Linked DNA regions of Arabidopsis thaliana. The protein of the gene in region 2 interacts with the protein of the main gene of each other region in a biochemical or structural test. Each region holds a gene or a part of one and is shown on either strand. Other genes may lie near its edges. The genes, in order: AT5G37890, GAPC1 and FBA6.

Region 1 (10,412 bases), on a different chromosome or scaffold from region 2:
TATTAATTTTGAACTAAACATTTTTTAGGTTTTATAAATTATAAACTAAAGCTAGATTTTTGTTATTTTTATATTAAACATTTATCAAATTAATCAAAAGTGCTAATTATAATATTGATATACAATATAAGTTTTGCGTTTTATTTAAATCTATGAAAATGATATGCAATATTTTTTTAACTGATATATTTCAAATTTGTAAGTTGTTTATATCATATTGATTTTAGTATGTGTGTAAATTGTAAAATATTCAAAGTTGTGAGATTAAAAAAGTCTTGATTAATTAAAAGATTAACATATATGAATATTGATATATTGATACTAATTGATATTAATCAAAAGAACTCAAATACTTTATATGATCAATATTCAAATTATTTACTATTTCTTCCATCATTGAAAAATATGGTAAGAAATTATTGCATTTAATTACTAATTATTTACTATATATACACTTGTGGAATTTAATAAAGAAGTTTAAAGTTATTTTGATGTGCATAATCATATATTGAAGAAAGGACACAATAATACGGTTGATAAATAAAATAAATGTAAATTTTAAAATACAATTAAACAATTAGAGTATAATGTAACAACTTACAACAATAATCTAACACACGTATACAATTACCAAATAAAAGTCAATAAATTATATGAGATATATCATGGTTTTTACTGATTTCTAACATAGTATTAGAATGGTTTTTATAGTCTTTCTAATCTTTTTTGTATCTTTTTTAGTCATTACAGGTGCATATCTACTTTTAAGAGCTATGAAGCATAATAAGGAATTTTGGAAGCTTTTCAGGAAAAGAAGACAAGCAGAAACATTATTCATACGTTGGTGTCGATCGACACCACGTCAGTATCGATCGACACCACGTCAGTACCGATCGACACCCTTATCGACAAGGATATTTCTCACGTATCATAAAGTCTTTAAGAAGTCTAGAAATTTTTCTTATTTGTAAAATAGACCCTGCACGTTTTTACTAACCTATATTATATATATACTAGATATTAACCCGCGGTACCACGGGTGGATATGTTCATTAAAAAATTATAGATAATTTTTTTAAAAATTATTAATTGTATATAAATAATATATTCTTAACACATAATTTTTATTTATGTAAAGCTTCGATAATTCATTTTTATGTTCTCATATTTGTTAGTTAATTATGAAAATTCAATATTTATTTTTATGGTTTGGGTTTTTTAGAGGTAATAAAGATTTAAAACTTGTATTATTATTATTATTATTTTTTAACTTGTATTATTTAGAGATTGACCCGCGGTACATCCAGGGTTGAAATATTTCTTAGAAAATTAGATATTTTATTTTTATTAATATTGTTTATATATATAACATATTCAAGAGGTACATCAAACGTCTATATTTTTATTAAATTAAAAATATTATTATTGTTTTTAGGATGATCTATAGATACATGCTATTGTCTTTTATGTATGATAGTATGATACACCTCTGTATGATTTTTATAACTATTTTTTTTTAGTGTTTAAAATTGTATAATTGTATCATTCCGTATTAATATCGATCCAAACCTATCCCACCATATAACCTCGTCCCGTGAAATTAAACATCATTTTATCATTTTTTTATGAAGTTCGAATAATTATAATATTAGAAACTTCAAAAAAGTTTTAATATGGACCAAACTTCATAATTGTATATTGATTGTTACATATAGGATTTCACCCGTAATATATCGTTCAATATTAATATATTTTTAGTATTTATAATATTTTAACTTCTTATAAAGTTCAAATATTTACAAAATTTACAACTTCATAAAATTTTAAAATTTTTAAATCATTAATATTAAATTTATTTTATAGTTATTAACTTTTAAATTTTCTTAAGAAATTGTAATACTTAACTTTTAATAAATTTTAAATATATATAATATTTTAAAACTTTAAAACTTTTACTTATTTAAAATAAAGAACCGGAGTAAACCGAACAATACTTTTAATTTTGGATGTTTGATATATCAAGGTTCCTTCTCATTCGTATTCAGAATCACTTAAATATTTTTTATAGTATGACTCTTAACGATGTCCCAAATTTTTAAGCAATGTGGGACCTTTAAAACTTTTTTTTTTATCGATGGAGTATTATATGTCTGTTTTAAAAAATTTGAATTTTATCGGATGCAAAAAAATCTAATATTTTATTAAATATATGTATTTTATATATAAACTAAAATAGCTATATATAAAAACAAAGATAATGACAGAAAAATTATATATTTATATTTAATGTTGATATATAGATTTTAGGAAATTAGCCTTAATCGAATATAGTTCAATAAAAAAAAATTTAGTTAAGGATAAAAAATTAGGAAGAGTTGATTCAACTAATTAATGCAATTCAACTAATTGTAAGTTTTTAGTTATAAAGTATTTGATTGAGATTAAATTTGTAAGGACTAATATTGAAAATAGTAAATAGGTGAGGGATTTTTGGTCAAAAACCTTAGCAAAAATATATACATGTAAATATTTTAAGATTATTGTTTAGACCTAAGCAAGTTTTGTGTGAGAGATATACTTTTGGAGAGAAGAATCATATCACTAGCAGAAAAAGAAAAATATTTAACTTAATCTGCGTTGTAGACTTGTCGTATTTTCCTTGTTTAATTTTAAAGTAATAACAAATACTATCATGTATTGTATTGTACACTATTATTTTACAGTTGTCCAACGTGAAGTCACGATATGTTCTTGTTCCTAGATGGGATTCGAAGTCTTGCTTCTTCAAACTTCCAATCGTTAGAAACAAGATCCGGAAAATCCGAAGTCTTGATAATTGAACAGCTCTCCGAAATCAATAATGAACGACTTTCTTTAACAAAAAAACAAAAAGAAAAAAAAAATAATGAACGACTTTTTTATAACAAAGAATATAAAAAAGCTTTCAACTAAAACAAAAGAAAGCTTAGTTGTATTCACAAGTTTTTATATTAAATGGCTGGCTAATATATATATGCAAGGGGAGAAGGAGAAGAAGAATATCACAAAAATCGATCCAAATCTCCATATTAGCAGCCATGAGTTCAATGGGTGTATTTTGTAAGGAGGAAATTGGTGGAAAACCGAATTTGGTATACACATTAACACAAACAGACAACCCAACCTCTTCTGGTGAGGCCCTAACCATGGATTCTGGTGAGGACGATCTCCCTCTTCAACCTCTTTTTTTCTGTCCTATGGGATATAATTATATGTCCATGTATACTTTCTTAATTATATCATCCTCCATATATATATATATTTAACTAACCTTTTTTATAATTCATGATATATACTTGATCTTGCTAAATTATACACACTTTTCAAGAACTACAACTCCAAAACTGAACATATTTTGTAGAACTTCGCTAGAATCCTCAAATCCTCAAAACAAAACTAGTTTTTGTAACTTTTAGAATCTAGTAAAAGGGCAAGTTTCCAACTTCGTTGTTCCTAATACAGAGTTTATAACAAGAAACACCAAAACCTGGAAGAATTTTAGTTATCAAGAAATAAGAATCAGAAAGATGGAAAAATCTTCTTGGAAGACAGGAATCGTCAATGCTTCATAGCAAATGGCCTATGCATAAATTATATCTTAGTTTAGATTGAAAACATTGTGAAACGTTTTGTTGGTCGATTGCACCAAGTCTCTAAAATTACAACCCTCATCAACCATAACGACTATGGGCGGGTTAAGATAACTAAAACGAGACAGATAAGAGTTTTCTAACAGGAAGACCCCAACCTTCTTACTCTTTGTTCAACTTCTTGACGCTAATCCTCATTTCCAACACATCACCACGCAATAAACTGTTGGGAATCAACATGAAATTCTCTTGCGGGGTTTGAAAACTCAACTTAAGAACCCTCTTCACCTCTGGTGATTGGTAAATCACAGTGTGTCCATCGACAGTGTAAGAGAGAGCATATGAGTACTGACTTAATTCTGGAGAAGATGGCGCAATGCAGCTTACAGTTACATACACACCATACGGCTCCCTGAAACACTGCACTGCAAACAAATGATTCGTCAAGTGTTCCGTTCTAATCAATATCTTTTTGCTGATGTTCATCCGGACACTTAAGGGAATGTCACAAATGAACGTATTAATCTGGTTTATTTCCATATGGGTAATACGATAGTGAGTGTACAGATCCTTGTATGAGCTAGTGTAATTGCAATCCAATGCAGGGCAGGCGCAATGAGAGAACATGCATTCCTTTTCATGAGTTAACTCTTTCCCATAAGATACATTCTTTTTGCAACCTAACTTGGCGTTCGGACACGGGATCAAGATCGATTCAAGAACACTCTCCATTGCTCTGCAGCGATTGTGGCCAACAGGCGAAGTACACGCAGGGCATTTGTTATTTAGTTTGGGACAGCAAGAAGAACAAGCCAAATGTCCATTATCACACTGAAATTCAAAACCAATAACTTGTGATCAAAAGCTATAACAACGTCGAGATAATATTCATCGAATCGACCAAGGATAATAGTTCTCTCCCCAAATGATTCTCCCATATAATTCATGATATAGACAAGTTATACACATATTTTCAATAACTATATACAACTGCATACATGAACATAACTTACTAAAGTTCACTAGAATTCTATAAAATCATCACAAGCTAAAGCTTAAGGACACTCTTGAAATCTAGTAACTAGTAAATGGGCACAATTCCAACTTCTTCTCTCTGCAATTTCTTTAACATAACTTTCAAAAGTTCACTAGAATCCTCAAAAGCTAAGGCTACTCTTAGAATCAAGTAAATGGCCACAGTTCCAACTATGTTCAGAGTTCTAACCAAAACAGAAACTTTCTGAAAAATACGAAATGATTCAATTTGAGAAATTACGAAACCTGGAAGATGGGAATTGTGAAAGCTTCGTAGCAAATGGGACAATCGAGAATCTCCAGATCCATTAGCATTGTCGAGCGTTTCTTAGCGTCTCTCTTAGCTGCATCACTAGAAGAAAGTTGTCTCTTTTGCGAGAGAATGCTGTTAGATCCAATTCCTTCGCCGGGAGATTCCAAAATCGCGGCACCAACCATGTCGGAGAGATGACTAAACCCTAAATTCGCTTTTAGTCTTCTCGAAAACTGAGAGAGGCAAATAGAGAATTTAGTTGATTTTGTTCATTGATGGATGGTTTTACAGAGAAAGGAGACAATGGCACAAACTATAGATGATATGGGCTTCGATAGTTCTTCAATTCCCAATTAAGGCCCATATAATATATAAACAATACCTTTTTTTGATAAACTTATAAACAATATCTAATTTTTAAGTCTATTAATATTTACAATATAAAAGAATATAATTATATATATAAAACCATTTAAAAATTAATATTAGTCTTAAAGTTTATGTATTTTTTAATTCTTCAATTCCCAATTAAGGCCCATATAATATATAACAGAAACAATGTCTAAATTTTACAAAATACAATAATAATTATTTATTTAGTCTTAATAGTTTATGTATTTTTTGCTACATTAATTAATAAGCTAATTTTTATTTTTAAAAGTTATGTAGCTTTTATTTATTTTTTTGTCAAAAATGTGGTTTTGAAGTTGGGATTTGGGGCAATCACAAACCACTAGACTAATTTTACCTTGGAAGATTGATAAAAATAGCAAAAAAAAACAATTTCTTCAAAAATAGCAGCTCATTTGAATAGTTCCAAAATTACACTCAAAACTTTAATTAATTATTAAATATTTAATATAAATAACTAATTTAATTAAATAAATAAAATTAAATATTTCTCGCCAAAGATTTTTGTCAAAATTTTCTCACAAAAAAAAATCCGTCAAATGTTTCCCATAAAAAAAATTTAGGAAAGATTATTATACGAAATTTGGGAAGGATTTCACGGAATTCATAAAAGATTTCACAAAAAAATCTTTCCTAAAACTCTTCCTGAATTTTGTAGAATCTTTCTTAAATTCAGGAAATGATTCTTTGAAAGATTCCACGACATAGATGTCACTCCATTCAGTATCAGAGTCCTGACCTCTTTTCTTCAGGTAATTTCTAAATTTAATATATCATAGTGTTGACCTCTATTCCTCAAGTAATTTTCAAATTAAATGTTTAAAAATTCTTTTGATTTTTGGTGGTAGACTGCTAAGATTAAAGAGTCCGATATCTACATGATGAAGATAATGGAGTGCTATACAATGTAAGCTAGTAATTCAAACCTTGAGGAAAATATTATTGGAAACGCAAGGAAAAAATCGGCGGTTGATTCACAGAATTAACAGATATATAGGTTAGTATATGCTTAAACCAATATAATTTCAATAACCATATCGTTTGCAGAATTAACAATTTATGAGTTATATAGTTCATTTTTTTTGAATAGGGTCAATTACTATGCAGAAGTAGCAGATTGCTAATAAAAAAAAAGTTTGTGTTAGCATATTCATAGAGCATTCACCCAAATGATGAATTTGTGTACTTTTTGAATTTTTTTAATTGTTAATTTTAATAATTAAAAATAAAATAATTATTTGAATGCTATTTTGTCCAAAAAATGTTTGAGTGCTATTTTTTTCCAAAAACTTGAAATGGTGCTATTTATGGAAATTTCTATTTTAACTTTTGCTATTATTTTTTCTGCTAAAGATTTAAGAATTTTGGTATTAGCTTTTATATTCTTAACTAATATGTAAAATTGCAGTTAAAACTACCATATTGGAATTCTTTAATCATTGAATCACAATTCACAACTAAATTTTTTCTTCTGCTTTTAGACATCACACGTTCGTACGTTTACTTATAATTAGATTTCGACTAAGAGTAGAATAAAAGATGGAGACCATAATCATGACAAACGAAAGAGCACGCATTACTCCAATTTGGTCATGCATAAAGTATAGCTTAGAAGTTATTAGATTAAAAAACTGTGAAATGTTTTGTTGGTCGATTCCATCAAAATTTCCATTATCACTCTAAATGCACAAAAACGTGTTAAGCAATACCAAACAAATTGCATCAAAGCTGAATCAAGCCGTTAAGCAATTACATCGGATCTTAGTTCGTCAAAACTTATATAAATGTCAGACGAGATAGAGAGAGTAAAAAAATGACATTCCTTCCTTCTAGTTCTATATCACCTCAACATTCTTACTCTTGGTTCGACGTTTCGACGATAGAAAGCTTAATATCCAACAATTCACTACGCAATAAATTGTGAGGTATCAACATGAAATTCTCTTGAGGTGTTTCAAAACTCACTTTACGAACCCTCTTCATTTGTGGTGATCTGTAAACCATAGTGTGTTCATCCACAGTGTAGGAGATTTGATATGAGAACTGTCCAACTTCTGGAGCAGATGGTGCAATGCAGCTTACGGTTACATACACACCACACGACTCCCTAAAACACTGCACTGCAAACAATATTTTCTTCTCATATACCCTTGTAATTTGTATCTTATCGCTGATAAGCATCGGGGCCTTATATGGAATGCTAGATCTAAAGCAGTTAGTGGTCCAGTATGAGTTCGAGATGTGAGTCAGTTTATAGTGATCATAGAGATCCTCGTATCGGCCGGAGTACTCACAGTCCAATGAAGGGCATGAGCATAGAGAGAAAATGCATTCTTCTTCATGAGTTGATTTTTTCCCATATAAGAAACTCTCGGTGCAACCAAACATGTCGTTTGGGCATGTGACCAATATCGATTCAAGAATATTCTCCATTGGCTGATAAAGAAAGCACAAGCAGGGCATTTGTTCCTCAGTTTGGGACAGCAAGAAGAGCATGCTAAATGTCCATTCTCACACTGACATACAAAAAAAAAAACACTGTAAAAATTTCAAGAAAAAAAATATGTATTAAAAGCTGGAAAAAAACAATTTTTAGACAAGAAACAAAACCTGGAAGATAGGACACGTCAATCCTTCACAGCAAATAGGACAATCGAGGATATCAAGATCTAGCAATGTCGCCGAGCGTTGTCTCTTAGCCACTCTCTCCCCTCCATGACCTTGAGATATCAAAGCTTCTAAGGCTCCCACCATGTCACCTAGATATCAATAGTAAAAATATTATCATATTTTCATTAATCAAACAATTTTAAAACATCCTCGACTGATGAAGGCAGAAGAGTTTGTTCGAAACTTTTATAAGACTTCCGTACCAAAAAAAGTAAAAAAAAAAAAGAGTGTTTAAACGCCAACTTTTTAAATCTCAAAACACAAGTCTGATATCTCTTAAACAACGATGGATAGATCTATTTGTAGAAGACAACTTTTAATACATCTCTTAGGAGTGGTAAACACAAATCCAAACTAACTAAGGAAAAGGAAACTAACCAGAAAAAGGAAATCTTGTTAAATACCTTAGAGCTTGAAAACCAAAAACGCAAGGGAAAGCTAGAAGAACACGTGTATGTTCGGTTTTATTTTAATTAGGGTTTTGTGTAAGGGTTGAAGAAGTATTTGACACAAGTTCATATCGTAATTAACGCAACTGATATATGTGTAGTCAATCAATCAGACATTCACATGTGTTAAATATATTTTAGGTTTTTTACTTATGAAGAGGAAAATTATAAAAACAATTAAACGACTAACATCATTATCATCATGATACGTGTGATGATCAATTTGATTGTAACATGTGTCAAATATTTTAATATTTTACTGTATTATCTTATATGGCATATTAATTGGTTTTTAAATTTTCGCATGTTTCCAAATATTTAATTTACGTTTCTCATAAGTCAAAACCATGGAATAATTTTGATCAAGGAAGCATGGAATGAAGCAAACATCATTCAAGTTTCACCGCAAGAGCTTAAAATTTCTACTTGATGAATATTACTAAGACAGGAGAAGAAACTACACACCACAATACTTCGGTGAGGACTCTTCTAGCCATTGAGATGATGACTCTTCTAGCCATTGATTTCGGTATTTTTGAGCTTGGATCGGTTTTCATACTCAGCTTGTATTCTGCTCCAACCTTAAGGTATTTATGGGTCGCACAATTAAGTCGCCACATTTTTAAACGAACAGTCTTGTCATAGTATGTTTACATCAGCATATAAACAAAGAAGAGTGATGACAATTTATGGACTAAAGCTTGACATATATCAAAAGTTGTGTTAAAACAATTAATACCTAGCATGTACTGTATAATAATACATTTGAAAAGATGGAACGGTTGAAACACTGTGAAATGTTTGGTTGGTCGATTTCATCACATTAAGTGCAAAACCAAACGAGTTATAATCAAAGTTGTAATCTAGTTAAACTGAAACCTAATTAAATCAAGCCGTTAAGCAATCAAATCGGGTCTTACTTCATCGGGGCAAAGCTTATATGTTAAATAAAACAGACGAGACAAAAAGAGTTTCCATGTACATAGGAATATGAAAACAATAATAGAATGACCTTCCTAGTTCTATATATCACCTCAACTTCTTACTCTTGGTCCACATTTTCGATGATAAAAACCTGCATCTCCAACAAGTCACCACGCAATAAACTGTGAGGTATCAACATGAAATTCTCTTGAGGGGTTTCAATACTCACTTTACAAACCCTCTTCACCTCCGGAGATTCATAAGTCACAGTGTGTCCATCCACATTGTAGGAGAGTTGATATGAGAACTCTCCTACTTCTGGAGCAGATGGTGCAATGAAGCTTACAGTCACATACACACCACACGGTTCCCTAAAACACTGCACTGCAAGCAATAGTTTCTTCTCATGTACCCTTTTAATTAGTATCTTATCGCTGATGAGCATGGAGGTCGTAAAGAAATTGGCACATCTAAAGCGCTTAATATTCCAGAAAATATTCGTGGAGTGAGTCAGTTTATAGTGAGCGTAGAGATCCTTGTATGAGCCAGTGTAATCGCAGACCGATGAAGGGCATGAGCATTGAGAGAAGATGCATTCTTTTTCATGAGCTGACTCTTTCCCATAAAAGAAACTCTTGGTACAACCAAACCTGACGTTTGGGCATGGGATCAAAATAGATTCAAGAACACTCTCCATTGCTCTGCTGCGACTGTGACCAACAGGCAAAGTACATGCAGGGCACTTATTACTCAGTTTGGGACAGCAAGAACCGCAAGCCAAATGCCCATTATCACACTGAAAAAACAAAATACAAATTGTGGTTAAAAAGCTGTAACTACACCTTCAAAATTCGAGAAAAAATATAGATATTAAAAACTGGACAATTGAATTTTCAGATAACAGTATTCATTGGCATCTTAGAATGGTTCAGTTTTTTAGCAATTCCTAAGCAATTCTTTTAAAATTTCACATTCAACCTCACGAAGTTGTACAAACGTATATTTTTCTTTTTGACTATAATTTGACATTATTCAAAAAAA
Region 2 (10,412 bases):
GGAGAACTATGGAGATAGGATGATTACGTTCTCAAAACGTAAAACCGGAATTTTTAAGAAAATGAACGAGCTCGTAGCAATGTGTGACGTTGAAGTGGCTTTCTTGATTTTCTCTCAACCCAAGAAGCCCTATACATTCGCACATCCGTCTATGAAGAAAGTGGCTGACCGGTTAAAGAACCCTTCGAGACAAGAACCATTAGAGAGAGACGATACCAGACCCCTCGTCGAAGCTTATAAGAAACGAAGGCTCCACGACCTCGTAAAAAAAATGGAGGCGCTCGAAGAGGAGCTTGCGATGGATCTAGAGAAGTTGAAACTGTTGAAGGAATCGAGAAATGAAAAGAAGTTAGATAAAATGTGGTGGAACTTTCCTTCGGAAGGTTTGAGCGCGAAGGAGCTGCAGCAAAGGTACCAAGCGATGCTCGAGTTACGTGATAACTTATGCGACAATATGGCTCACTTACGATTGGGAAAAGACTGTGGTGGTTCATCTTCTGTTCGTGTGGGACGTCGAGTTTCTGGTGGTGTTCGTCTGTTCGATCGTGAAGCATGATCATACATATTCATACTTGATGATTTAAATTTCTTTGTATTTGAACTGCTGATTTTAATACTGCATGTATCCATTTGACGAAGCTCAATCGTCTCGAGTATATCTCTATTATCTAACAGTATTGAGAAAAAAGGAGTTTCAGTTTTCAAAAGTTGAAAGACTGAGCCAAGTGATGACAAATTCGAGCGTTAGGGTCTTCACAAATTGGATATTTTGCGAAAAATCATGTTAGTTTTTTATTTGATGTATTATTAATAAGAAATGAGGGTTTCCTTTTTTGAAGTAATCAAAAGAATTTTCCATTTTTGCGTCCAATCATGTAAAACTTAACCATTCCTTTTGTTTCCTTTTAAAGATAAAATTCCTTTTAAAAGTAATTTTTCATTTTCTTCAGAAACCTTTCGGTCATAACCTTCTCTTATAAAATAATAATCTCTTCTTACGAATCAAAGGTCTCTTATTCGAAGGGCAATAACATTTGACCATAAAAAAAACCCCATATATATATACAGTGTATATATATATTTTTGCCCCTTTGTGAAGAAAATAAAACAATCAGAGATGAGCCCTAAATTTTCCAACCATGCGACCGTTTATGTGATCCATCGTTGCGCGGGTATATCGAAGATCGTATTATGAGTCTTTTTATGATCGTATTATCCTTTGTGCGAAGTACAACTATTGAACAAGACGAGAAAAAGTTTTCATTGCGCAGGTAAGTCGCGAGGGAGATGTATTCCATAAGTATTCTATAAGCCAAGTCTCCTAATCTCCCTGGTAACGTTATCTCATTCCACATGTACTCTATAAGTATTCGCGAGCGTGTGGTTTCGATAGAGTAATAATTTAATGATTGTAGAAGGAGATGACTGTGGGATCATCCTAGACTAGAGTTTTAATCTCTTGATTTGATTTTTCCTCGACGAGTTGAACTAACCAGCTTGTGATTTTTTTTAGCTTCTCGGGTTGTGGTAGATTTTATTATATATCACTTGGTTGTCCTATCACTTGAACTCGAATATTTACTTCTACGAATTGACTTTGCGAAATAAGCTAATATATCTAGTATTATGGTTTCCCCTGCATATGTATTTTACATTGTATTTAACCTGGATTTTGAAATCAGTTTTAAAAGTAACTGTTGAAAACATAAATTAAATAAAACTTTTTTTAAGGCTCAACTATACTTTAGAAGGAAATAAATGTGTTTCCTAGTCAATTTGTGTCGATGAACAGTACACATTGACTTTGATTGTGTGCGATATCGCGTTAGTTTGATTTAAAATGATTGTGACCATACACTTCAGAAAATCAAAATGCAATTTGACCGGAAAAAAAAAATGGTCCAGTATAATTATTATTCCATGGCACAAGTAGATATGGAAACACCATTGTTTATAACCCAAAGCGAACGTTACAGAGCTATACAAGAAATTATATGGAGATTCTGTTTTCTATTTCCATTCTTGCTCTTCTCTTTTCCGGAGTAGTAGCTGCTCCAAGCGACGATGATGTTTTCGAAGAGGTTAGGGTTGGATTGGTGGTTGACTTGAGTTCTATACAAGGCAAGATTCTGGAAACTTCTTTTAACTTAGCGCTTTCAGATTTCTATGGCATCAACAATGGATACCGAACCAGAGTCTCTGTTTTGGTCAGAGACTCCCAAGGAGACCCGATCATTGCTCTTGCCGCCGGTGAGTTTTCATCTCCCTTATTCAATTATTGCAATTTTTGGTGGGATCCACAACTCCTCTTCATTTAAAGCAGACTGAATCAAATAAAAAAGAATTGACCTAGTCCCGCCGGTTTACTCCGGTTAACATTCTCATGTCTTGCACTAACCGTTTTGCACTGCAATTTGTGTTTGTATGAAACAGCTACTGATCTTCTCAAAAATGCAAAAGCGGAAGCCATTGTTGGTGCACAATCATTACAAGAGGCAAAGCTTTTGGCGACGATTAGCGAAAAAGCTAAAGTTCCGGTCATATCTACTTTCTTGCCAAACACGTTATCTTTGAAGAAATACGATAACTTTATTCAATGGACGCATGATACTACATCAGAGGCTAAGGGAATTACAAGTCTCATACAAGATTTCAGTTGTAAATCGGTTGTGGTTATATACGAGGATGCTGATGATTGGAGTGAGAGTTTGCAAATATTGGTTGAGAATTTTCAAGATAAAGGAATCTATATCGCTCGTTCTGCTTCTTTTGCAGTCTCATCATCAGGAGAAAATCATATGATGAATCAGCTAAGGAAGCTTAAGGTCTCAAGAGCATCGGTTTTTGTGGTGCATATGTCCGAGATTCTTGTTTCTCGTCTCTTCCAATGTGTAGAGAAGTTAGGTTTGATGGAAGAAGCGTTCGCTTGGATCCTCACTGCAAGAACCATGAACTACTTGGAACATTTTGCAATAACTAGGTCGATGCAAGGGGTCATTGGTTTCAAATCTTACATCCCTGTATCTGAAGAAGTTAAGAATTTTACTTCAAGATTGAGGAAACGTATGGGAGATGATACAGAAACAGAGCATTCTAGTGTAATCATCGGTTTACGCGCACACGATATCGCTTGTATTCTAGCAAATGCAGTAGAGAAGTTCAGTGTAAGTGGTAAAGTTGAAGCATCTTCGAATGTATCAGCTGATCTTCTGGATACAATTAGACATAGTAGATTCAAGGGTTTGAGTGGTGACATCCAAATCTCTGACAACAAATTTATCTCAGAGACATTTGAAATCGTGAATATTGGAAGAGAAAAACAGAGAAGGATAGGATTATGGAGTGGTGGTAGTTTTAGCCAAAGAAGACAGATTGTTTGGCCTGGCAGGTCTCGTAAGATCCCAAGACACCGTGTTTTGGCAGAGAAAGGTGAAAAGAAGGTGCTTAGGGTCTTAGTTACCGCAGGAAACAAGGTCCCGCATCTAGTGTCGGTGCGTCCTGATCCTGAAACAGGTGTTAATACTGTCTCTGGATTCTGCGTAGAGGTTTTCAAGACTTGCATTGCTCCTTTTAACTACGAGCTTGAATTCATACCTTACCGTGGAAACAATGACAATCTTGCTTATCTACTTTCTACTCAGGTGTGAAAATGCAAACAGTTTAAAAACATTTTTCTAGTCAAAAATGATTATGTATGTTTCTAATAATGTGTGTTTGCAATTTTGACAGAGAGACAAGTATGATGCAGCAGTTGGTGATATCACCATCACTTCCAACAGATCTTTGTATGTTGATTTTACTTTGCCGTACACTGACATTGGTATTGGAATCTTGACAGTGAAAAAGAAAAGCCAAGGGATGTGGACCTTCTTTGATCCTTTCGAAAAATCCTTGTGGCTAGCAAGTGGAGCTTTCTTTGTCTTAACTGGGATTGTTGTTTGGTTAGTTGAACGGTCCGTTAATCCGGAATTTCAGGGCTCTTGGGGACAACAACTTAGTATGATGCTCTGGTTTGGTTTCTCAACCATTGTATTTGCTCACAGTAAGTGTTTATGTTAGAGTACTACTCTTCATGAAATCCCATCCTTTTGTATATTTTGATCTATAACAAATTACGCACATTCTTGGCAGGAGAGAAGCTACAGAAAATGTCATCAAGATTCTTAGTCATAGTTTGGGTTTTTGTGGTGTTAATATTGACTTCAAGTTACAGCGCAAACTTGACATCAACCAAGACCATTTCTCGCATGCAATTAAATCATCAGATGGTTTTCGGGGGATCTACGACGTCAATGACTGCGAAGCTCGGATCCATTAATGCAGTTGAGGCCTATGCACAACTTTTGCGAGATGGAACTCTTAATCATGTCATCAATGAAATACCTTATCTCAGTATCCTTATCGGAAATTATCCGAATGATTTCGTAATGACAGATAGAGTGACTAATACCAATGGCTTTGGCTTTGTATGTACCCTTCTCCTCAAACCTCTCATTTTCTCTCCATTATTTGGTTACTTATTCTTGTTACGTACTAATTTATGTTTACCTCTCAGATGTTCCAGAAAGGTTCGGATTTGGTTCCTAAAGTATCGCGAGAAATCGCGAAGCTAAGATCATTGGGAATGTTGAAAGACATGGAGAAAAAATGGTTTCAAAAACTGGATTCACTAAATGTACATTCCAACACCGAGGAAGTTGCATCTACCAACGACGATGATGAGGCATCTAAGCGATTCACCTTCCGTGAGTTGCGCGGTTTGTTCATCATTGCGGGAGCTGCTCATGTTCTCGTACTAGCCCTACATCTCTTTCATACGCGTCAAGAGGTATCACGACTATGCACCAAACTTCAAAGCTTCTATAAGTAAAAAGTGATCCATCGTTCATAAGCTCTACTATAGCAATTGACGGGACAGGACTCATAAGTAACAACAAAGTACACTTCGAAACAAATTTCACATGTAATACTTGTTTTTTTTTCCCGTTTAAATTCACATGTAATAATTTAATTCACGTAAATACTAAAGTGATTCACCCATCACGAAGTATTTTTTGAATTAAATACATCAACTAATCGAGTTTTTGATAGGGACTTTTGCTTTTTTGAATATTGCTTATCAAATCAAAATTTTCAAATTCTTGTCCATATACGCCTATCAAATATCTTCTTTTAAAGAAAGTCTCCTAAAGAGTTGAAAACTTGAAATATATACTTTTCTAAAATATAATTTTATTTGGGCGTTACGTTCTAGAAAATGGAACCCGTCTACTAAAATGGGCCGCTCGTGAACTCGTGGCAGTCAAACACTGGTCGGCGCATAAAAGCATATCCAAATACGCTGCGTTTCATGCTTACCCGACCCGTCTTAAATATTTAAAGAATATTCCAGATTAGCGCGTGAGATGCAGTTGCCATGTCTCGCCTCAGGAATGACGACATTTGCCAAAATAACAGAGCTACAACGGTAAATAAGGAAAATGATTAAGGGCAATTTGGTCTTTTAGGTTAAGAAAAGTATTGAATCAGATCTGACTTTTTGGCCAAGAAAAACTCTCAGCCACTAGATCATTCCGACCCCTCCTCCACGTTCTTCTCTCTTTTAAATAACCTCTTCACGGAACCCTTCTCACTCACCTATCTCACTCTAAAATCTCTCTCTGCCAATCTCATCTTCAACCTCTCTCTAACTCTCGTTTTCGATTCTACAATGGGTTAGTCTCTCGCTTTTACTAATCTCTCGTCCCGTCGCTGCTATTTTACGTTGTTGAGTTTTCTGATCTGATCGTTTTTCTGATTTTGTTTGTTGTTTTATGTAGCTGACAAGAAGATTAGGATCGGAATCAACGGTGAGTTTCGAATCGATTTTGTAATTCGGGTTTGTATGTTCTCATGTATCTAGATCTAGAATCTGACTGTTGATTTCTGTTATCGTTAGGATTCGGAAGAATTGGTCGTTTGGTTGCTAGAGTTGTTCTCCAGAGGGACGATGTTGAGCTCGTCGCTGTCAACGACCCCTTCATCACTACTGAGTACATGGTTAGTGTTCCTTCCTTGGTTTTGACGGTGATTCGATCTTGGTTTGCTTCAATATTATTTTGATCTCTTGACGATAAGATTCTGTTAGTCGCTCTGGTACCTTTGCTTTCGTTAGATTTGATAGATGGATCATATCATTTATGGATTATGCATGTGGATTTAAGTGTCAGATGATTTGTTCAATTAGTGCACAGATCTGGAAACTGGTTTAGTGTTCATTGTTCATACTGTTTAGCTGATCAGTATACTTGTGGAGCTGTTGTTTGTTTTGCTGTGTTTGTAATGTTATTGATTAGCCTGTTTGTGATTAGAGTTGATATGGTTGAGTTGATTTTGATTGCGCTCTGTGTTTGATTGCTGCAGACCTACATGTTCAAGTACGACAGTGTTCACGGTCAATGGAAACACAATGAACTCAAGATCAAGGATGAGAAGACCCTTCTCTTCGGTGAGAAGCCAGTCACTGTTTTCGGCATCAGGTACATTTATCAACCAGTTCTCTGTCTCTTTGCGTGTATACATATTACAAACTGTTGTGAATTTCAATCTCATTAGTTTTTGGTATTTGTGAAGGAACCCTGAGGATATCCCATGGGCCGAGGCTGGAGCTGACTACGTTGTTGAGTCTACTGGTGTCTTCACTGACAAAGACAAGGCTGCAGCTCACTTGAAGGTTTGTCTTATTTGAATTGGTTATTTTTGTCTTGTAATGATATAAATAGTTTATGTGCTAGAATTTGCTTAGTATCATTCAACTAAATTTGTGACTTGTTGTATTTTCAGGGTGGTGCCAAGAAGGTTGTTATCTCTGCCCCCAGCAAAGACGCTCCAATGTTTGTTGTTGGTGTCAACGAGCACGAATACAAGTCCGACCTTGACATTGTCTCCAACGCTAGCTGCACCACTAACTGCCTTGCTCCCCTTGCCAAGGTAAAATATCTGATATTCTATATGATCAAATTTGACTTTGTATTTCAAGTTGAAGTGACTAATTTCATTTAACGTTCTTTGATTTCATTGTGTAGGTTATCAATGACAGATTTGGAATTGTTGAGGGTCTTATGACTACAGTCCACTCAATCACTGGTAAATTTATCAATCAGTTAGAAGTTTATTACAAACTTGCTTGCCTATAGGTGGAAAATTTGTGATTTAATGGGGTTTGCTTTATGATTTCAGCTACTCAGAAGACTGTTGATGGGCCTTCAATGAAGGACTGGAGAGGTGGAAGAGCTGCTTCATTCAACATTATTCCCAGCAGCACTGGAGCTGCCAAGGCTGTCGGAAAGGTGCTTCCAGCTCTTAACGGAAAGTTGACTGGAATGTCTTTCCGTGTCCCAACCGTTGATGTCTCAGTTGTTGACCTTACTGTCAGACTCGAGAAAGCTGCTACCTACGATGAAATCAAAAAGGCTATCAAGTAAGCTTTTGAGCAATGACAGATTAAGTTTACTTATATTCCAGTAGTGATCAAATTACTCACCAAGTGTTTTTACCACCAATACATAGGGAGGAATCCGAAGGCAAACTCAAGGGAATCCTTGGATACACCGAGGATGATGTTGTCTCAACTGACTTCGTTGGCGACAACAGGTCGAGCATTTTTGACGCCAAGGCTGGAATTGCATTGAGCGACAAGTTTGTGAAATTGGTGTCATGGTACGACAACGAATGGGGTTACAGTTCCCGTGTGGTCGACTTGATCGTCCACATGTCAAAGGCCTAAGCTAAGAAGCAGATCTCGAATGATAGGGAGTGGAAAGTCATCTGTTCATCCCCTTTTATGGTCTGAATTTGTCGTTTTCGAATAAAATTTCTTTGAACTTGGAACTTTTTTTTTTTTTGGTTTTCTTAATTCTCATTCATGTGAGGTGATGGGAGTTTGTAGACCGATGTTTTACTGGAAGCCCTTTGTTTTTGGCTTTTGATATATTGAGTTAACGTTATGGTTTTCAATTTTGTTCCACTTCTCTTTTTAACTATATACTAAATCAAATCTGAACGAAAAATGAAACTAAATGAGCTCCCGTTGATGATGACGTAGCAAATCTAAGGAACTAGAGGTGTACACTTATTAATCTAGCTTCTTCTAGTTTTCGAATAAAAGTTTCTAAGTGGAACCTATATTTTATGTTTGCGATTCTCATTTATGCGAGTTTGTAGACTGATGTTTGAATGAAAAGTATTTCATGTTGCCTTTTGTTATTGATTCTTCTCAAAACATAAGAAATTCATTAACAGATGTGCGGTTTATAAAGACAACGAAATATGTGTTCATCTGTAAAGGTACTTTGAACAAATTATTAAACCATGTTACACAAATTCACGTATAGTGGCACTTCAATTATTTGTACACATCCGCATCGAAAAAATGGGGAGGTCGTTGATATACGACACAAGAAGGCCCAATGCCAAAGCCCAGTTGGTCAAACACAAAGCCTAACCGGTTTTTCAAACCAGACGGTGTAAAACGCTTCCAAAACCAGAGAGCCCAACTTTGGGCCGTAAACCCTTCTCTTGCGATTAGTCCTCCTCAAATTTCTCCGGCAAGAGGCCGTCGTCATTTTCACAATTTCCCTTTGCTCCATCTTTCAGGTACGATCTTTGAGTTTCATGTCTAACTTATTTTCGTCATATGTCACTAGTAAGATTCAAATTTCATTGATGATGATAAAAATTTGATTTTCCTATGGTTGCAGTTGAAGAACCCTGTTCTGGGTTTTAGATTTAATGTCTTGGCTTATTCAAAATCGCATTGGAAACACCTTGTTACGCCTTAATCCTTCTTCGTCTTCTATCGCTATTTTCTCTACGTTTATCAAGAATCTCTCTACTGCTTCGGAGCAATTACCTGAGACACTTGATGAATATTCACAGTCTGAGGAGATATGGAATGTTATTGTAGGTAGAGACGGTGATAGAGATAGTGAAGATGATGTTTTTAAACGTCTATCTAGCGATGAAATCTGTAAAAGAGTCAATCTTTCTGATGGTTTGGTTCATAAGCTGCTTCATAGGTTTAGAGATGACTGGAGATCTGCGCTTGGTATTTTGAAATGGGCTGAGTCTTGTAAAGGGCATAAACATTCGAGTGATGCTTATGATATGGCTGTGGATATTCTCGGCAAGGCGAAGAAATGGGATCGGATGAAGGAGTTTGTGGAGAGAATGAGAGGAGATAAACTTGTTACTTTGAATACAGTTGCTAAGATCATGAGGAGATTTGCTGGTGCAGGGGAGTGGGAAGAAGCTGTGGGAATATTTGATAGGTTGGGTGAATTTGGATTGGAGAAGAACACGGAGTCGATGAACTTACTGCTCGATACGCTTTGCAAGGAGAAAAGAGTGGAGCAGGCCCGAGTAGTTTTGCTACAGCTGAAGTCACATATTACACCAAATGCTCATACGTTTAATATCTTCATTCATGGTTGGTGTAAGGCAAATAGAGTTGAGGAAGCTCTTTGGACGATCCAAGAGATGAAAGGTCATGGTTTTCGTCCTTGTGTTATTAGCTATACGACGATTATAAGGTGTTATTGCCAGCAGTTTGAGTTTATTAAGGTCTATGAAATGCTAAGTGAGATGGAAGCTAATGGGTCTCCTCCGAATTCTATTACTTACACAACTATTATGTCTTCTCTTAATGCACAGAAAGAGTTTGAGGAGGCTTTACGGGTTGCTACAAGGATGAAAAGATCCGGCTGTAAACCCGATTCTCTTTTCTACAACTGTTTGATTCACACGCTTGCTCGAGCTGGTCGGTTAGAAGAAGCTGAGCGGGTTTTCAGAGTCGAGATGCCAGAGCTTGGTGTTTCCATTAATACATCTACCTATAACTCTATGATTGCTATGTATTGTCATCACGATGAGGAAGATAAGGCGATTGAGCTTCTCAAGGAAATGGAAAGTTCAAACCTTTGTAATCCCGATGTTCATACGTATCAACCCCTGCTGAGATCTTGTTTTAAGAGAGGAGATGTTGTTGAGGTTGGGAAACTATTGAAAGAGATGGTGACTAAACATCATCTCAGCCTCGATGAGTCGACTTATACTTTTCTGATACAGAGGTTATGCAGAGCTAATATGTGTGAGTGGGCGTATTGTCTATTCGAAGAGATGATTAGCCAAGATATCACGCCGAGGCACCGCACTTGTTTGCTGCTCTTGGAAGAGGTCAAGAAGAAGAATATGCATGAATCAGCTGAGAGAATCGAACACATTATGAAGACTGTGAAACTTACTGCACCTGTAAAGTGAGGTTTATTAGTTATTATGACGACTTGACTGTTACTTCGCAGATTGGGATGAGAAGTGGTCTCTTCATGCTTGCGAAAGAAGACAAGACCAGATCATGCATAAAGATGTTCATTGTG
Region 3 (10,412 bases), on a different chromosome or scaffold from region 2:
GAGAAGAGTGATGAGTTTGAGGAAGGAGAGGAAGAGATCGAAGCCATTTTATGGTGCAGTTAAGTTAGTTGGAGAGTGAAGTACGTAGTGAAGAGTGAAGAGAAGAGAGTGAAGAAAGTGCAAACCAGTTAGAAAATGGTTTGGGAGGAATTGATCACAGCTTAGAGATGATGAAGCTAAAGCTGTAAAGACAGCTTTTTAATTGCTCCTCTTGTTGGATATCGCGTTTTTTTGGGTGGTGGCCAATTAAGTTGCAAATGATGTATATATGTTTCTATCTAAAGTGGTCGTTTTCGCCATCACAGGTTCATGAAAATACATGTGTTCTCATGATCTTGACACCACTTTATTGAAAACACTTCAATAAAAATTAAAATTATCTACTTCATTTGTGTGATTTACAATATTTTTGGTATAATTTTGTGTTATTTACATATTGTGAAACTGTATTTCAATGTTGCTATATATACACTCCATGTCCAGGGGTATAAACCACAACTTCTCCAATGTCATAATAAGACTATAATGTATATATGTATTTCCTATATATTGCTTACTTTGGGGTTAATGGTTATTTCAGAATAGAAATGAATATAGAGTTGACTTGGTGAAGGGTCGGATATTTATAGAATAATCACATCGAAAAGTGTCTTAGAAATGCTAAGAAGAAGTTAGTGTGTGATTGCTGTTTCGTTTGGGTCAATTTCTTTGAGGCTTTATCATCCCCACTAGACATTAATATAATGTAATAGATTTTCTAGATTATTCTCATTCAAACTTGTCAAATCGATTAGGGTAAGAAATCCATTTCATGTCTCGATATACCGTGGAATCTTTGTTCCCACCATAGATGTATGTGTGTGAAAAAAGAAATTCACCTAATTAAATCAAATTTTCTCTATCACCTACGTCTGCTGGTGCGTGCCGGTTGGCACTTGATCTACTAGGCTGTCGGATATCTATGTAAAAATCAAGCATAAACATTGTAAACTAATTAATTAAACTTGATTAACAGAAAATAAATCAGAACAAGTACTAGATTCATATGCTAACTAATGTATTGGCTACAAATACCACTTAATTTGAATCTATAACTAACCCACGGTGTAGTAAATACTTGGTTTCATTATAGTTTCCCAAAGTCTAAGTGAAAGTTGTGGTGTCTATACTATTTGTTCTCAAAGTCTCCAAGTATGGTGTCTATATGTTCTCAAAGTCTCTCAATTCTCAGATATTTTGTTGTTGTAACTAACGAAAAATCAAAACTAATTATTCTATTGACTACGTAGAGAATGATTCTAATAAATATATATATATATATATATATATATATTTTAATAATGGTAAGCTAGCTTTAATGCTTGCCTAACAAAAGCTTTTTGTGTATATAAAATACATTGTCTAGTAAAAATTTTGCTTTTGATCTTACTTCTTATGCCATAAATTAATTACTAGGTAGAATGTTAACTATATTATTAAAGCAGTCGGTAAATCCTTTCAACGTAGAAATAGTGGTGATATCAAAGGATTCCAAAAAGTTTGCAAGTAGATCACTGATACAAAAGAAAAAAAGAATATGTACATATTTCGTTTTGATTGAATAAATACAACATTCAAAAGAAAAGAGTTTTCTAATGCTAAAAAATATGGATGTTGAAATGTGTAAGCATGGTTGGTAGCCTCACTGGCCTGTTCTTCTGTTGTGCCAGGAGGCCTTTTAGAGATTGTATGTTACCTTTGGGTTTCAAAGTTGGGAGTCCAAAATATTTCGATGATCTTTTCTATTTTCTTGAGTTTGGTAGACATTATGAACTATACAACCGCCCAAATGTCGTCACTATTGATAATGTTAAATTATAACCCAACAAGCTAATATTCATTTTTAAAAAGGCTTCATAAGAACACAAAGACCTCATAAAAAAGTATAAACGGGGTTCTTTGGTGCCACCACTCTTCTAAACAAAACACCAAACAAAAAACAGAGAAAGTGAAAGCAAGAACATAAACGATGATATAAAAACTACGATCCTCAGCCTCTTTCTTCAGTACTTGTAATCCTTAACGTGAAGGCTCTCAGCTGCACCTTCACCGAGCTTAGCATCACCCTTGTAAGCACCAAGTGTTGCTTCAGAGTTAGCTTTGCATCTGACCAAGAACGCTTCTTGAGCCTTCTTCACATTCTCCTCTTTTCCTCCCCAAGTCTTCAAAGTGCTCTGCTGCAACGCCCTTCCAAAGGAGAAAGACAACGACCAAGGCTTCTTTGTCTTCAACTGGTTCATCGCGTTAAGGTTTCTTGTCGCCTCTTCCTCGCTCTGTCCACCAGACAAGAACACTATGGCTGGAACAGCAGCTGGAACTGTCCTCTGAAGAGCACGGACAGTGTGCTCAGCAATCACCTCTGGTGCAACCTTCGCACTCTCTGATCCTGGAGTAACCATGTTAGGTTTCAAGAGTGTTCCTTCTAGCAAGACATGGTGATCACTCAGAGCCTTGTAGCAAGCTGCAAGAACACGCTCTGTCACCGCGGCACACTTCTGAATGTCATGAGAGCCATCAACAAGAATCTCAGGCTCCACAATCGGCACAAGACCGTTCTCCTGACAAATGACAGCATACCTAGCCAATCCATAAGCGTTCTCATGGATAGCTAACTGAGATGGCTCATTAACACCAATCTTAAGAACCGCACGCCACTTGGCGAAACGAGCACCAGCCTCGTAGTATTTCTTGCAACGGTCACCAAGACCATCAAGACCTTGAGTAGTAGTCTCACCATTGGTTCCAGCAAGCTCAACGGTACCCTTATCAACCTTAATACCAGGCAAAACTCCTGCACTCTTCAACATATCAACAAAAGGCGTACCTGCATCACAACCAAAATCAACCCCAATCAAAGTCAACGATGATACACAGATTCAGACATATAGCGATGTTAAACTGTCAATTACCATCAGAGCTCTTCTGGTAAAGAGTTTCTTCAAAGAGGATAACACCACTGAGGCAAGGAAGAGCTCCAGGAGTAGTGAAGAGAAGCTCACGAAGAGCACGTCTGTTGGATTCAACGTTCTCAACGTTGATGCTAGCGAGACGTTTCCCAATAGTACCAGTTGATTCATCTGCCGCAAGGATACCTTTTCCAGGTGTTCCGATGTAAGCAGCGTTAGCAATCAGCTCATCTGCAAGAGCAAAACCCAAAAATTAGACTCGTATAGTCAGATCACTTAAACAACTAGTCCAAAGCCTTTATATAAACCTCAAAAACGTTAAACCGTAAGACCTAAAAACCAAATCGAAGACAGCTAAAATCATTCTGATGTGCGTGATCGGATAATCTATCAATTTTTAGTGCAGAAGACGAGATCGCATCAAAGTAGCACCGTATCAACGAAGAATCCAAACTTGTGACACAAATTAATATCGATTGTGCAGAAAATTGATAAACAGAGTACTGAGAAAGAGAGATGAAGTGTTACCGGCGAATTTGGAGGTGAAGGAAGACATGGTTGAAGAAGAATCGATTTGGTGAAGAAAGTTGGATAAAGAAAGGATGATGATGATGATGATGATGAAGATGATGGTGAATTTTGAGTTATATAGGAGAGAGTGATGGTAGCTTCCAGAAGATATTTTGGACTCTTCTCCAAGGTAAGCTTTTTCAGCCGTTGGATTGTTTATACTTTCTATGGGCCGTTTTTACTACTTCCGTGATTACTGGTTTGTAACTCTAATATTATAGTAACTTCTACCACGTTCTATTTAAGGTGTGACTTCGGCCTCACTACGGCCCATTGTAGCCCAATAATATTCCTCAGGTAAAATGATTCAATTTTTGTTTCCCTTGAAAAAAATTGTGTTTACAAAATGAGAAGTGAAGACTTTGAGATCTTGGAACCAAAAATTTAGAATTGATATTTATGTGAGACTGTGAGTAGTCTAATTCGGACAATGAATCATCAAATTCATTGTATCAATTCTTTTCAAGTATTTTTCAGAATTTCAACTTCTAGTGTTTTTATTTATTCATGAATTCTTTCTTGTTTATTTTCTATCCTGCCTTTTGAATTTTATCCCCTAGCTGCACTTTTTATTTTGTTTGTTTGTTTGAATTTTCAATTTTGTTGCAATGTCCTTTCCATTTCTTTTTTTGGAAATATCGAAAATGCTCCTATCATCATCATTGTCATAAACAAAAGTTAATAACTTTAGAAGATATTATTAGGCTATTAAATTAGGTACATTTATTTTAGAAGATAACAAAAATTATGTACATTTTATCTTATGCATAGTTTGCCATCCACGGTTTTGAATATAAATTTTAGTTTTGATGAACACAATTTGAATATCTCTTGCATTCTCACGAACATTTGGCAGAGAAAAAACACAAAAACATTTGATCTAATCAACCTATCAGATATACCTAAATGCAACACAAAATATTCTTAAAATTAAAATTTCAGACAACGAAGAGTTATGTTAAAATGTTTATTTGTTTATTTGGTCACTTTTTAGAGGCACAAATGATAAGTGAAAACGAATGTTTCTCATCTCTAGAACCAATATTCTTCTTCATCTCACTCTCTTGTTCATCTTCATCAATCCATAATCTACTATCCAAACCACTCCTCCTCCTAAACATAAACACAGCACACGGAGGAGTAGACGATGAAGTTGAAGAAGACGATGACGACGACGCCGTTTTAGACGATGAACTAGTCGAAACAGACGACAACGTTTCTTTGTAGAACCAGTCGTGTAAATCCCACATCATGTCTATAAGCATTCCATCGAAAAACATGGTTTGATTCCCTCTAAAGTTCCACTTAAGCTTCTTCACCGAAAACACTTTCCTCTTATCAACATAAACCGACATCGTTTCAGGACTTTTCACTTTCCATAAATACCCTTCCTCTCCTCCTCCTCCTCCTCCTCCGCCGCATTGAATCTGTATCTCGTGTTTCCTTCCGACGTCGGAGAATTGAGCTTTCGTCGTGAGCCAACAAGTTCCAGAGAATCTCTCCGTTTTTGAGACTCGCCACGACGACGATGATGACGTGTCTCGCTCGTGGTCAACGTCGCCGACTCCGAGGGTAATCTCGGAATTTACAACGACGACGACGAAGAATCTTCTTATTGGTTCAGGTCCGTTGTTTTCGTACTCTGCTTCCGATAGATCCCAGAGGATCTCGGCGTTGAGTGAACCGGAGGAAGAAGTCAACTTTCTTGATCCTTTAGGTTTTCTGAGTGAAACAGAGTATGATTTCGGCGGCGTTGAGATGACGACGGTGAGATTATCCGACCAGGTGAGTGAAACAGAGACGGGTTTGTCGGAAGATGGGAGATTGGATCTATAAGTGGTGGTTACTGTGTCGGGGATTGAAGGAGGTAATGTCGGAGATATATAGGAATGATTCGATGGACCTGAACAATATGTATCTGATACTTTAATGGCGTGTTCACTGTAACAAGCCGCGAGACCTCTCATGGTTTTCTAACAGAAAGGGTTTGTTTTTTTCTCGGGAAGGTTAGAAAGGAAGAAACTTTACAGAGGAAAAGGTTATAGATTTTTGGTTTTGGATGCTATACGTGTGAATAAAGAGAGATACTTGAAGTTGAAGGAAGGAAGAACATTTTTTGTGGTCTTTGGAGGGAGAGAAAGTTTTGTGTGGAAAAGGAGCAAAATGAAGTTTAGAGATTCTGTCTTGGGAGATTAGGAACGACGTGGAAGAACATAAGACATGACAGAGAGATTTTTTACCGGGAAACTAAAAGATAAAGAAACTTGGTGGAGAAATAATATTAGTTAGGGCTTTATGTATTTTTTGGTACGGAAGTTGCAGAGAAGAAATGGAAGAAAGTGATGAATTCTTCTTTGTCCTTGGCGTTTGGATATGTGTTTCATTCGGCCATGTGAAGATGTCTCTCTTCTCTTCTGACTTTTTGAGTTTCGTCTGGTCTATTATATGGATTGGTGTTTTTTTTTATTGTTACTCTTGTTGAAAATGTAAAATTTAAATACGAATCCATCATTAAATGTAAGTTAGATGTGGAAAAGATGAGCTAACGACAAGAGATTTGCAGAAATGAAATTTAGATATTTTGTACCATGTTCCTTGCATTATCAACATTTATGAATTTTAAACTCTTCTCTTCCCCTTGATATCTTTCTTTTGCTGATACAATGCTTGATAGTCAATTTTGTTTAATGTGAAACTATCTAGAAATGATGTGTTTTTAAAATTCATTTTATAATTGAATCATATTTATCGATCGGCCAAAAATATTACTTAGACAGTTAGACCACTTTACTTATGTATCAACAATTTAGTTTTCGATAACATGTCAAGGTTTATGAGTTTCGAACTCAAAGTCTCAAACATCAACTGCAAGTGGAAAATTCTCATAAGGTCGTTAAAGAACTGTCTTTATAAAAAACCCAAGGAACGGACATTAGATAGCTCTTTCAATTGTCCAAAAAAAGAAAAAAAGATGGCTCTTTCGTTATGTATTTAAATGAATTGCCACTGCTTCTACGATTAAAATCATTAATTAGTATTACTATAACATAATTCATGGAAACAAGATTAAATATATATTGTTGCAAACAAACAAATGAACTTAAATAATACGTTGACCTGATTTATACAGCTTAGGTTGTAATAAGATGTGTGTGTTTGGTATTTTCTTATAGTCGTTAATTAAAGGAAAATACAAGATAGTATTCCAAATGACGTCTTCGAAAGTAAGAAAAAGTATGCAGTCGTGCAAAATAGAACACGAGATGTGAATAGACTTGACCCTTAACTGATATATTCTAGACATCTTTAATTTCACGTAAAATCTTAGGTTCTAAACATAATTAAAGAGAAACTAAGATTAGAAACTGAAAAGAAAAAAAAGAGTCCATCACGAGGAAAAAATAAAGAAGACAAGAAACGAAACATGATAAATGAACAAAAAGGAACAAATCACATCTTGGACTTGTATTTCTCTGAGTGTTATAAAATTTGAGAAATGGCATCATGAGTCATCAAGACGGACGAATTGAAAACAAATCGAGTCTATTTTTAAAAACAAACACAATTGGATAAGCTCATTAAAGCTTACAAGTCAATCATCTTACCTACAACAACATCAAAACAATGATAATTAAATCTCCTTTTCCACAATTTATAGTTATTCAAAAACAGGGTTGATGTGGCTATTTAGTTAAAACACATGTTTGGAAGACTTGTCTCATTCATGCTCGGAAAGTTTCAGTCGATCGTGCTATTGGATATATCATATATGTGCCCTACTTAGCATTAATATTTTCATTAGATAAATAATTGTAAATGAACAAGGGTTTACATTTGTTAATCTGCTACATGCCGCCAATGTATAAAATACCATTTTCGGATGTTGTCCTTTATTTGGCCAAATATTGACCATTTCCATTGGTAACAAACTTTGTATCCACAATGACGTTCTCAAAAGTTTGCAATTGAAAGTAATGACTAGTTGCTTATTCAAGAAAGTTTGCTTATGCTGATACCACATTAATTTTGATGAGCTTCTTGTTCACGTGAAAATTGAGTTTTCCTAAAAGCAAGGAACAGCGAAGAAATAGAGACCGTCCTCTGCTTTTTTTCTAGCCTACTCTCTCCCACCTACACATTCATTACAAGACTCACTAATTAACTCTCACACCTTTTGCATTTTTCTCCCTCCAATAAATGTTAATTTTGCTCTTTCCCCAATCTGCAAGCAAGTCAAGGGTTCATATAATAAAAAGCAACTCCCATTCTACGAGGATTCACATGATAACCACAACCACCCTCAAATAAGAGATATGACAACATAAATCTTTCAAACAGAAATAGTAATTGCTAAGTTCTATATATGGTCTCATGGCTTTGCGTTGGATGTTCAAGAGACGTTAACGTGACAAATCTGTGTTTCACTTTCATAAGAAACCCGCATATTCTTTTGTGACACACGAAAGAAAGGCATAGAATATGGAAATGTCCGATATTGGGAAGGCCTCTTTGCTCTTTTTGTATTTGTATATGATGAAAAAGGAGAGACAAATAAGAAAAAATAAAATTAAAAATGCTGCACATCTTTTTTCCTTAACTCAAAAGCTCGACACTTTTCTACAAAACTAGCATCATGAGGAACTCAGAGGAATCACGAACCTGTTTCCTCTGTGATGCCACTTCTTCCTCCACCATAGGTCTTTATATGGAGGCTACTCAACAATTTCCTAGCAAAATAGGAACCGAACGAGAAACAAACACGTAAAGGTGGATTCATGCAGGATTAAAGAACAAAGTTTGAGATCAGAGAGCCCTAGAATGACCAAAAGTCGCAAATTGACTAGAGCTACAAGTTACCTGCTTGATTGCAATTCCAACTTCCAAGCTCTGCAATGAACTCGTGGTCAGACAACCTGTATGGACGATAGGACCACTGGCCTCACTGTTGGCTGGAGGATTGGTCAGGTAAGAAGCTCCCTTGAACATCCATTGAGCCATTTCTTGACTGAAATAATCCTCAAATACTTCTCCACATAATATACATGCGCATTGGGTCTCATCAGCAGCTACGGCTTGACAATCCTCAATAGCACTCTCAGGTTCACTCAGAACTTCTTCATATTCAGGTTCTAACTCTCCCGCTTTTGCTGCTATCCAGTTATCAACCTTTGGAAACCAAACCCTACATTTACTGTTTGTGCCACTTAACTCGAGCTTCTTCTTATCATGCAGCTCCATGTGCCTATCAAGTTCTTCCTTTTGTTTAAGGCGAACGCTGCAGGAGGTGCAGAGATGGGGAAGGTCATCGAATAGACTACTAATGACCGAAGGGTGAAGTTCACGGATTTTGTCCGCCCTAAACTTCAATCCTATGAGGTCCTTGGGTTCAGATTTTGATGTTTCAGATGGTGCAGCTAACCCTTTTACCTTAGGGGCAGTAGATGGCCCCTTCACCAAAACAGATGGCTGAGCATCTGCTGGAACCACAGATACAGACATAGAGCTATTGGTGGAATGATCAGGACTGTGTTCCTGCGTTATGGAAGGAGCCGATGGCAGCTCTGTCTTCGAAGCAGATATCAAGCCCTTCGAAACTAAAGAGCTTAAGAGGCATGAAAGAGGATCTGAGGCCTTACTTTTCTCTTTTGACGTTTGTACTGAGGTGATGCCAGTAAGAGACGCTGCACATGAGACAAGTGGTGCGGAGGATTGTTCAACTTTTAAACGAGCTAATAAATTGTCAGTAGCCAATGAAATTGGCAAAGTCTTAGGCTTAGAGGCTGCTGGCAGGGTTAGTGCCCCCGGGTTGACCTCATCATGACTTTCCTCCTTGATCGCACCACATGTTGAATTATTAGAAAGGATTCCACTCTTCATGACAGCTTCTAGCAAATCACTCATGTTGGGTTGTCCTGTAGCTTCTGAGGCAAGAGTAAGGCCTGGGGCATTTTCAGCTGCTGACTTAGAGTCAAAGATTTCCACTGGTAGTTCACGCATATTTGTGTTTTTAAACTGACTACTTGAAGATGGGAGCCGTACAGAGTCATCCCTGGGAACATTTTGTTTTGCTGGAAACCGGGAAGCCCTAGGATCACGTTGGGGGAGTGAGTGAGCTCTTCTAACATCTTGCTTGGTCACATTCTGTTTAGAAGTTGAATCATGTAAAGGCGATTGTCTATCTGACCCAGATCCTGAGCTTGGCAAAATTCCAGAGCTTGCAACCCTTGGTTGAGGCTGAATTCCCTTTCTAGTTGCAGTCGAGGTTGCATTGGTAGAAGAAAACGCCCAGTGCCCAATACTACTTGGATCTTTTTGCTCGCTGGAATATGAATTTGTTGAATTCGCTGGGTCAAACCTTGGGTCGAGAGCTGAAAACCTTGGTCGTTTTAAGAGGTGGTTTTCAGATTCCTACAAGATGGGAGATGGTTAAAAGCTAACAAATTAAAATGAGATACATCACAATAAAAAGGAATGCAAATTACTATCATAGCTTACCAGTCTCTCTGATTCATCTGGTGCATGAAGCTCGTTCTTTGGGTTGATAGTGGCTACATCAGTTTCGGATAACCTTGAGTGCATATCCCACATAAACTCTTCTTCCTCAGAGTTTTTCCAACTATCATAAGGCACACCTATATTTCTACTGGGACCACTTGATTCCAAATTTTCTACTCTAGCCGTAGCATAGTTGGAAGTTCTGCTTTTGGAATGTAACCCATCCCTTTGGTCAGAAATCAGATCAGGATCCCTGTTCGTAGCTCCGTACCATTGTTTCTCACATCCGTCATCAGTAATCCTTGAACCAACATTCTTAATCACCGATCTAGAGTTATGTGGTAGATCAGAAGCATAATCATATTCCCCTGCTATTGACTCGATATCTTTCTCGTAGAGGGG

What was found.
Region 1: the proteins of GAPC1 (region 2) and AT5G37890 form a complex in vitro, tested with the Arabidopsis thaliana proteins (one study listed by BioGRID).
Region 3: the proteins of GAPC1 (region 2) and FBA6 interact in far-western blotting, tested with the Arabidopsis thaliana proteins (one study listed by BioGRID).

The regions. Positions count from the first base shown.
Region 1 is NC_003076.8:15,086,721-15,097,132, forward strand, and holds AT5G37890 (Protein with RING/U-box and TRAF-like domain), read right to left. Parts: upstream 5,236-10,412; 5' UTR 5,103-5,235; coding exon 4,911-5,102; intron 4,461-4,910; coding exon 3,792-4,460; 3' UTR 2,958-3,791; downstream 1-2,957. Other genes in the region: AT5G37900 (TRAF-like superfamily protein), read right to left, coding at 7,183-7,764, 7,939-8,082; AT5G37910 (Protein with RING/U-box and TRAF-like domain), read right to left, coding at 9,490-10,167. UniProt on the Arabidopsis thaliana protein: E3 ubiquitin-protein ligase that mediates ubiquitination and subsequent proteasomal degradation of target proteins.
Region 2 is NC_003074.8:1,075,367-1,085,778, forward strand, and holds GAPC1 (glyceraldehyde-3-phosphate dehydrogenase C subunit 1), read left to right. Parts: upstream 1-5,575; 5' UTR 5,576-5,710; coding exon 5,711-5,714; intron 5,715-5,819; coding exon 5,820-5,849; intron 5,850-5,938; coding exon 5,939-6,039; intron 6,040-6,402; coding exon 6,403-6,518; intron 6,519-6,612; coding exon 6,613-6,712; intron 6,713-6,822; coding exon 6,823-6,969; intron 6,970-7,064; coding exon 7,065-7,125; intron 7,126-7,218; coding exon 7,219-7,459; intron 7,460-7,548; coding exon 7,549-7,765; 3' UTR 7,766-8,324; downstream 8,325-10,412. Other genes in the region: AGL57 (AGAMOUS-like 57), read left to right, coding at 1-556; GLR1.1 (glutamate receptor 1.1), read left to right, coding at 1,995-2,250, 2,434-3,641, 3,730-4,042, 4,132-4,466, 4,556-4,870; AT3G04130 (Tetratricopeptide repeat (TPR)-like superfamily protein), read left to right, coding at 8,770-10,296.
Region 3 is NC_003071.7:15,294,887-15,305,298, forward strand, and holds FBA6 (Aldolase superfamily protein), read right to left. Parts: upstream 3,869-10,412; 5' UTR 3,502-3,868; coding exon 3,474-3,501; exon of another isoform or gene 3,254-3,473; intron 3,177-3,253; coding exon 2,949-3,176; exon of another isoform or gene 2,864-2,948; coding exon 2,043-2,863; 3' UTR 1,727-2,042; downstream 1-1,726. Other genes in the region: AT2G36470 (DUF868 family protein, putative (DUF868)), read right to left, coding at 4,499-5,482; AT2G36480 (pre-mRNA cleavage complex 2 Pcf11-like protein), read right to left, coding at 8,228-8,242, 8,373-9,923, 10,011-10,412. UniProt on the Arabidopsis thaliana protein: Fructose-bisphosphate aldolase that plays a key role in glycolysis and gluconeogenesis. Associates with GAPC1 to the outer mitochondrial membrane, in a redox-dependent manner, leading to binding and bundling of actin.